Callithrix jacchus: one gene and its partner. Each later gene encodes a partner of the first gene's protein in a complex. Links are inferred from orthologs where the notes say so. Each region holds a gene or a part of one and is shown in the gene's direction. Other genes may lie near its edges.

Evidence for each region.
Region 2: the proteins of RPS6KA1 (region 1) and SNTG2 are in contact, whole or in part, in a crystal structure (PDB 7QQL), measured with the Homo sapiens proteins. The link is inferred for Callithrix jacchus from reciprocal best matches to the Homo sapiens genes RPS6KA1 and SNTG2. Residues at the interface, in NP_002944.2 of Homo sapiens: Pro731, Ser732, Thr733, Thr734, Leu735; in NP_061841.2 of Homo sapiens: Gly82, Gly83, Leu84, Gly85, Leu86, Ser87, Ile88, Lys89, Gly90, His94, Ser101, Lys102, Phe104, His134, Val138, Leu141, Arg142.

Annotation. Positions count from the first base shown.
Region 1 is NC_133508.1:63,207,309-63,210,902, forward strand, and holds part of RPS6KA1 (ribosomal protein S6 kinase alpha-1), read left to right. Parts: intron 1-241; coding exon 242-372; intron 373-2,469; coding exon 2,470-2,595; intron 2,596-2,792; coding exon 2,793-2,882; intron 2,883-3,253; coding exon 3,254-3,412; intron 3,413-3,594. UniProt on the Homo sapiens protein: Serine/threonine-protein kinase that acts downstream of ERK (MAPK1/ERK2 and MAPK3/ERK1) signaling and mediates mitogenic and stress-induced activation of the transcription factors CREB1, ETV1/ER81 and NR4A1/NUR77, regulates translation through RPS6 and EIF4B phosphorylation, and mediates cellular proliferation, survival, and differentiation by modulating mTOR signaling and repressing pro-apoptotic function of BAD and DAPK1.
Region 2 is NC_133515.1:114,023,233-114,027,257, reverse strand, and holds the start of SNTG2 (gamma-2-syntrophin), read left to right. Parts: upstream 1-1,141; 5' UTR 1,142-1,234; coding exon 1,235-1,306; intron 1,307-4,025. UniProt on the Homo sapiens protein: Adapter protein that binds to and probably organizes the subcellular localization of a variety of proteins. May link various receptors to the actin cytoskeleton and the dystrophin glycoprotein complex.

The DNA of each region.
Region 1 (3,594 bases):
GAAGGGGTGAACTGTCAGCTGGTGGAGGTGGGAGTCTTTTATGTTCCTCATGGGTCAGGACTGGACTGGTCTAAACACATATGAGCAGTTAGGCTAATGTCTGGGATGGACGGGCCTCTTGCAGGCTCCCACGATGGCCAGCTACTGAGGCAGGTCTGGAGGCCCTGTGCTCCCCCTTTGCTGGGCTGGCTCAGGGTGGAGGGTACCTCCTCAGGCTCACATTCCCCTCCCGTCCCTACAGATTCCCCAGGCATCCCGCCTAGCGCTGGGGCCCATCAGCTGTTCCGGGGCTTCAGCTTCGTGGCCACTGGCCTGATGGAGGATGATGGCAAGCCTCGCGCCCCACAGGCACCCCTGCACTCAGTGGTACAGGTGAGGGGGTGGGGGTTCTGATCCATTCTCCTTTTTTAGCTCCCCACCAGAATGGCTGAGAATACAGGCTCTGACTTCGACAGAACCAGGTTCATAGCCTCATGCCACTGTGGGACCTGAAGGTCGTCCAACATAAAACAGGGACAGTAAGGCCCACACGGTGGCCCTGATCATTGGATAATGATATGGGTATACATTTCCCAGCACAAGGCCAGGGTCTGGGTATATGCCAGGGGGTTCCCAGGGTGGTGGTGCAGAGTGACTGTCATGTCTCTGGCAGGAGGGTGGCAAAGGACTTGTGTCTCTTCACACTAGTTCCCCATTTTTACACTTTCACTGCTTCATGGAAGTTTTGGGTTGAGAGGCAAGGATGTAGACTCCAGAGCTCATTGCATGGGTTCCAGATTCACAAGATAATGGACTTTGGGTTTTTTTTTTGTTTTTTTAAGAGACATAGTCTTGCTCTGTTGCCCAGGCTGGAGTGCAGTGGCACAAACTCAGCTCACTGCAACCTCCTCCTCAGCTTCAAGTGATTCTCCTGCCTCAGCCTCCTGAGTAGCTGGGACTGCAGAGGCACGCCGCCACACCATCTAGTTTTGTTTTTTGGTATTTTTAGTCCAGACAGGGTTTCACCATGTTGCCTAGGCTGGTGTCAAACTCTTGACCTCAAGTGATCCATCCACCTCAGCCTTTCAAAGTGCTGAGATTACAGACATGAGCACCTGGCCAGATAATGGATTTTGGATGAGACACTTCCCTTCCTGGTGCCTCAGTTTCCTCATCTGTAAATGGGGGAAATGATAGAAGCTTCCTCTAGAGAGTTGTTATGAGGATTATCAGAGTTAATACATGTAAAGTTAAGGTGGGCTGGGCATGGTGGCTCATGCCTGTAATCCCAGCACTTTGGGAGGCCAAGGTAGGTGGATTGCTTGAAGACAGGATTTTAAACAGACCAGTCTGGTCAACATGGTGAAACCTATCTCTACTAAAAATACAAAAATCAGCCGGGCATGTTGGCGCATGCTTACAATCTCATCTACTTGGGAGGCTGAGACACGAGAATCGCTTGAACCCAGGAGACAGAGGTTACAGTGAGCCAAGAATGCACCATGGCACTCCAGCCTGGGTGACAGAGCAAGACTCTGTATCAAAAAATAAATAAATAAAATTTAAAAATAAAGTTAAAGTGACTATGTCATTTATTTTCCAAACTGGGACATCTTTCTTTATCCAGGACAAATACTAAATCAGACTGGATGCAAGGACTACAGGCTCAAACCAGGGCTATCCATGGGGCGTGCAGTCACCTGATGAAAGTGCTTAGAATAGTACCAGGAACACAGCACACACTAAGCACCATTGAGCATTGTTATAGCTAATGTCCCAGAACCTTGAGATGAGCTGTGACACCCAGAAAGGGGAGGCAACTCACTCAAAGCTATAGTTAGTAGTAGAACTGGAACTCAGCTCAGGGCTCCTACATCCCTTCCAGGCCTCCTCAGGCTTTTTAGAACGAAAGACCTCTCCATGTATGTTGTGACCCTCTTACCCACTCCCTACACTGCCCTCTGACCACAGGCTGCAGTCCAGGCAGGCTGGGAGCCAGCGAGTATGCCCATCATATAGAATAGAAAACTGGTCGGGCGTGGTGGCTTCAGCCTGTAATCCCAGCACCTTGGGAGGCAGAGGAGGGTGGATCATAAGGTCAGGAGATTAAGACCATCCTGGCCATGGTAAAACCCCATCTCTACTAAAATAAAAAAATTAGCTGGGTGTGGTGGTGCGCGCCTGTAGTCCCAGCTACTCAGGAGGCTGAGTCAGGGGAATTGCCTGAATCCGGAGTCAGAGGTTGCAGTGAGCCAAGATTACACCACTGCACTCCAGCCTGGCAAAAGAACAAGACTCTATCTCAAAAAAAAAGAAAACTGAGGCCCAGAGAGGGGTAGGCTCTCACCTGCAGTCACATTGCCAGTACTCCACCCCAAGCCTCCTGGCTCTTTCCTGTTGCCATCTCTACTGAGCCAAGACCTTGGTGCTGTGGGATGACCCCTAGCACTCTGGAGCCAGGGGTCAGCCACAATTTTTGGTCTCCTACAGCAACTCCATGGGAAGAACGTGGTTTTTAGTGATGGCTACGTGGTAAAGGAGACAATCGGTGTGGGCTCCTACTCTGTGTGCAAGCGCTGTGTCCACAAGGCCACCAACATGGAGTATGCTGTCAAGGTGGGCCTCCTGAACATGTCTCAGCCAAGGCTGCCGGGCTGGGGGCAGGTCCCCATCTGGCGGGGAGGGGTGGTGCCTGAGCTCAGCAGATGGATGAAAGGTGTGTGGCTGAGACCTCCAGGCCTGCTCCTCTGTAGCAGGGGAGGACCCTGGAGCTTGTCACCCTGACACTGCCATGTGCATGCCCCTTTCTTCAGGTCATTGACAAGAGCAAGCGGGATCCTTCAGAAGAGATTGAGATTCTTCTGCGGTACGGCCAGCACCCCAACATCATCACTCTGAAAGATGTGAGTGGGGTCCTTGAGACTGGGGTGGGGACCAGGAACTTAACTCTCCAGGATTTGTCTCAGGTTTTCCATTCCTTTGACTTCTCATCCTCCTTCCAGTGCTCATGTGAAGGTGAAGGAGGACCCTTGGTCTCTGCAGTCTGGCCATACCCCAAGGGCCCTCCTTCAGACTCAAGCATTTTCTGAAGACCTTCTTGCCTATCAGGGGACCAGTGTCAGCATCCTCTTTTCGGGGAGGGCAGGGCCACTGAAGTGCACAGCAGAGCACATGCCTAAGGCTCATGTCATTCTTCCCTGCTCTCGGATGCTGCTGACTAGGATGCCCAGGCATGACACTGGGGAGAAGAGCCTAATGGTGAGGTCTTTGGCAGGTGTATGATGATGGCAAACACGTGTACCTGGTGACAGAGCTGATGCGGGGCGGGGAACTGCTGGACAAGATCCTGCGGCAGAAGTTCTTCTCGGAGCGGGAAGCCAGCTTCGTCCTGCACACCATCGGCAAAACTGTGGAGTATCTGCACTCACAGGGGGTGAGTCTGGATTCGGGGAGGTGGTAGGGGAATGCCAAGGGTTATACCATCAGCAGAGTACATGAACCACATACTGGCCCAGGAATGGCAGCCTCCAGCCAACTAAACTGAGGGGAGACTAGGGCTGTGTGGGTGGATTCGTGCAAAGGAGGGAGGGAGAGATGTGGCCAAATCGTGAAAGG
Region 2 (4,025 bases), on another chromosome or scaffold:
TGAGAAGCCCTGAGATCCCCCGCAGGCCGCCCTGGAACCCAGAGATGGGGGGATGGGGGGGCGCCCGGGTCCGAAACCCAGGTCTGCCGGCGGCCAAGCGAGTCGGAGTCAGAAAAAGGAAAGCGTTTCACAGCGATTTTTCAACGTTTATTTGTTCACTCAAGTTCTGCTCCTAGAGGGCGAACCTCCTCCAAAGGCCTCAGACTTCGCGGCTTTTGCTGCCTCGGAGCGGGAGGGACAGGGGCGTCCGGGTCTCCGAGACGCGCCCGCGCCCAGGCCTGGCCTGGAGGACGGAGGGGGTTGGAAAGGAGGAAAAGGGGCGCCAGCTTCTTTCTAAAAATGTAGGTGGCCTGTGCGCCCCTCACTGCCCCGCCCCACGGGAATTTACCCTAAACTTACTTCATTTACATTAACATAGGCCGATTTGAGTCTGGGAACCCCGTGCGGGCGTCGGGGAGGCTCCTCTGGGCGCAAAGCTGAGTGAACGGGGGACCCGCGTCTCCGCCGCAGCCGAGATCGGGGTCCCCGCAGGGTTCGCGAGACGCCGCGCCCCGGAGGCGGGACGGGGCCGCGGACCTTTGGGGCGATGGAGGGAGAAGGACGACGGGAGCGGCGCTGGGGGAAGGGGAGGACTCCCTGTCTTTTCTTCGGGCCGGGCAGTCCTCGGGGTCCTCCGGGCTCCCCCATTGCTGGGGAGACGCCGGAGGAAGGTCTGAGGGCTGCGGCCGGCGAAGGTGTGGGGACCCCAGAGGGCTGGGGGCGCCCGGGGACCCCGAGGCTGCGGTTGGAAACGTCCCCGAGGAGAAGCTGAGGACCTTGGGCCGGGGCGGGGGCGGCGGGGAGGGGTCGCCAGGCCGGTCCAGAGCGCGCCCACCTGCGCCTCAAAGGAGCGCCGGGGCCTGGAACGCGGACCTGGGTACCCAGCCCGGGAGAAGCGCGTGTTCCGCCTCCAGCCCCGCCGGCCCCTCGAAGGTCCCTCCGACCCCAGGGAACGCCCCGTGCCCCCAGACGCCGCCCTTCCCCGCGAGCCGCGCGCCCGGCACCCCGACTCCGGCTACGCCGCGCCCCTCCCTCGCCCGGGGCGGGACTTCGTGGGCGGAGCTCCCGGTTCCCAGTCCCGCGCCCCAGGCCACGGACGCGCGCGAAACCCGAGCCGGAGCCTGCAGAGGGGCTCGGACGCGGCGCCCGGCGGGACTCTGGAGGCTCGCGTGGGGTCCTGGCGCTGAGCTGGGCGATGAGCATCGAGGGACTCCCGCTTCCCGCCGCCCCCCGCGGACGCCCGGGCTGCCTGCTGGTGCCTGTGCCGGTGAGTATGGTCCCTCCCGCCCCCGCCCCTTCCTTCTCCCTCCGCGCCCCTCGGCCTCCCCGCGCCCCTTCCCTCCCTCCAGGGGCGGCTGCCCGTTGGGAGGGCTCCGGAGTCCGGGACGCCGCGGTCAGCCAGGACCCCCTGGACCCCCGCCCCGCGCTCCGCCCTCTCCTGCGCGGCGTCTCAGCGGGAAACTTGTGGGGTTTGCGCCTGGACCCTCTGGAAAGGCTTGTTCCGAGGCGCGGGGCTCCCCTTCACTGCGTCAAGTGGCGCTTTCCGGAGTTTGGGGTTTCCGACTGGGCGCCGCGTTTCTTCCAGGGGCAGCTCTGGTGGGCCCCGCGGAGCGCGCGGACCGAGCGTCCCCCCTGCAGCCTCGGGCGCCCGGGCTGGTGCGACTCGGCCTGGGGGAGCCTGAGGGTTCGCGGCGCCGCCTCGGCCCGTGCTGGGGGTTCCCGGCCATTCCGGGGTCGCTGGGACGCCAGCTGGTCACAGAGATGTCTTTTTGGAAGTCGATTCTAGCTCCTGCCCTAAATAACTCCCTCTCCACCTTCTTATTTTTAAATTAACTATTGATTGACAGAAAACAAACGTTGGCTCAAAGAAAAACGAAAAGTTGTTGGAAGCTTTCAAGTTCCCACAGCACAGCCCCGATTCTGAACACGGTTTCGGGGGGCACGTGGCCGCCCAGTCCCGGGAAGCCGCCGACGGGATCCCCTCCCTGCGAGCTCCCAGCCCCAGGAGCGACCAGGAGTACACTTAGCTCCCCTTTGTAGGGCCCCGGAGACGGCTCGGAAGGCCACAGGTTGGGGCTGCTGCAAACTCCTGTCCTCATGGCAATGATTCTAAACTGCGACCGTGGTCCCAGCCACTCTGTTCCGTGTGGACATAGATGCATCTGCATTCAAGCCATACCTTTCTGGGCTTTTACACAACATGTGAAAATGAAATTTCATGTAAAAGCGGGTGTTTATTTCTTGAAGTACTTTGCAATATGAGTATCTATCCCACGGTGGCCCAGGGTCATCCAACCCGAGGAGATATGCGGGGATTACCTGGGAAGCGACTGCAGGAGGAGCTGCGGCCTCCCCGGAATCCCAGGCTCTCCACTGCTTTCAGCGTTAAAGCGATGCCCTCCCATGGTTAGGGATTGTGCATTTTTCTCGAGACTTTCTTGCAACAAGTCTTGCTTTTAATCATTGCAGATATAGCGGAAGCTTTGAAGTGGAGGCATCACACTTCATAATTGACCCACTTGAGGGATTATTGGCGATAACTTCTACACGTGCATCAACTGCGCGTATTCTAGTAAATGGTCTCCTTTGTGCTCAGTGTTAATTAAGGTGCTCAATTTGGTGTTTTCAAGGGCGGCCTCCACTCACCTGTTTGCTACAAGATGTGATTGGTGCATTCTTTGTAATAACGGCCTCGATTATTGAAAACAGCCTATCCGAACTGAATGGAAAGAAACGTTTTTTCAGCGTTCGAGGCCAAATGCTACAAGATGGAGCATTTTAAGAGCAAGACTCCTAACTTTGCAGTCATAAACACTTAGGTGTGCTCTAAAGCTGCCCTAGACACAGGTGCTGGGTAATGTCAGCCCAGAATCTTACTTGTTTAAAAGGAAACTGTTCAGTGTTGGTTTTGGCAGGTTTGTCTTCAAAACACGAATGTTCTCAGCTTGCAGCGTCATCCTTGCTTAATGCCAGAGACAGCTGGGCAGAATTATCCATTTTCTTGCCATAACTGCATAATATTCAAATTGTGTAATTACTTCAGTTAAGAGAACTTGGTGCTTTTACGTAGAAAAAGATGACAAAACATCTTTTCTAGATCTTATATTTCTTTTTTTTTTTTTTTTTTGAGACGGAGTTTCGCTCTTGTTACCCAGGCTGGAGTGCAATGGCGTGATCTCGGCTCACCGCAACCTCTGCCTCCTGGGTTCAGGCAATTATCCTGCCTCAGCCTCCCGAGTAGCTGGGATTACAGGCACGCGCCACCATGCCCAGCTAATTTTTTGTATCTTTAGTAGAGACGGGGTTTCACCATGTTGACCAGGATGGTCTCGATTTCTTGACCTCATGATCCACCCACCTCGGCCTCCCAAAGTGCTGGGATTACAGGCTTGAGCCACCGCGCCCAGCCTAAATCTTATATTTTTTCTGTCTGAAGTCAAAAACATAACACATTCTTTATCATGACTGCTTGTTTGAATCATGGAATTTAGCCAGATTTGAAGGTCTCCTGTTCAGTAGCAGAAGTGTTTTGTTTCCTCTTTAAAGCGCCTGTCCCCCATGCCTTTTTCTAGGTTAGGTCAGTTCATGGAGCTCTGTCTCTGACCATACCTGGATTTTTGGGTAAAATCCCACTGGCAGAGAACCATCAATACAGTGTGCTAAGGGTGTCTTGCTTGTAGCTTCAAACATGACTATTGATTGGTGTTTACAGCACATTCACTGCTTTTGAATGACAACACGTCTTCAGTCTGGGCTGCTGGAAGAATCATTGGCGTGAGCTAGGAACATGCCCATTTATATGATGAACGGAAAGGCGAGGCTACGTTAGGTGGTTTTCAAGGTGCATTTGGTAAGGGCATCACTTAACCATCTGTTCACAGATAGGAATTGCTGCATGAGAGAAATGAAGCGTCTGACCTGGAAGGTTACCCATCCCTTCGCTGCCTTGGGTGTGTTTCTCATCTTTGCTGACTCATCTGTAATTT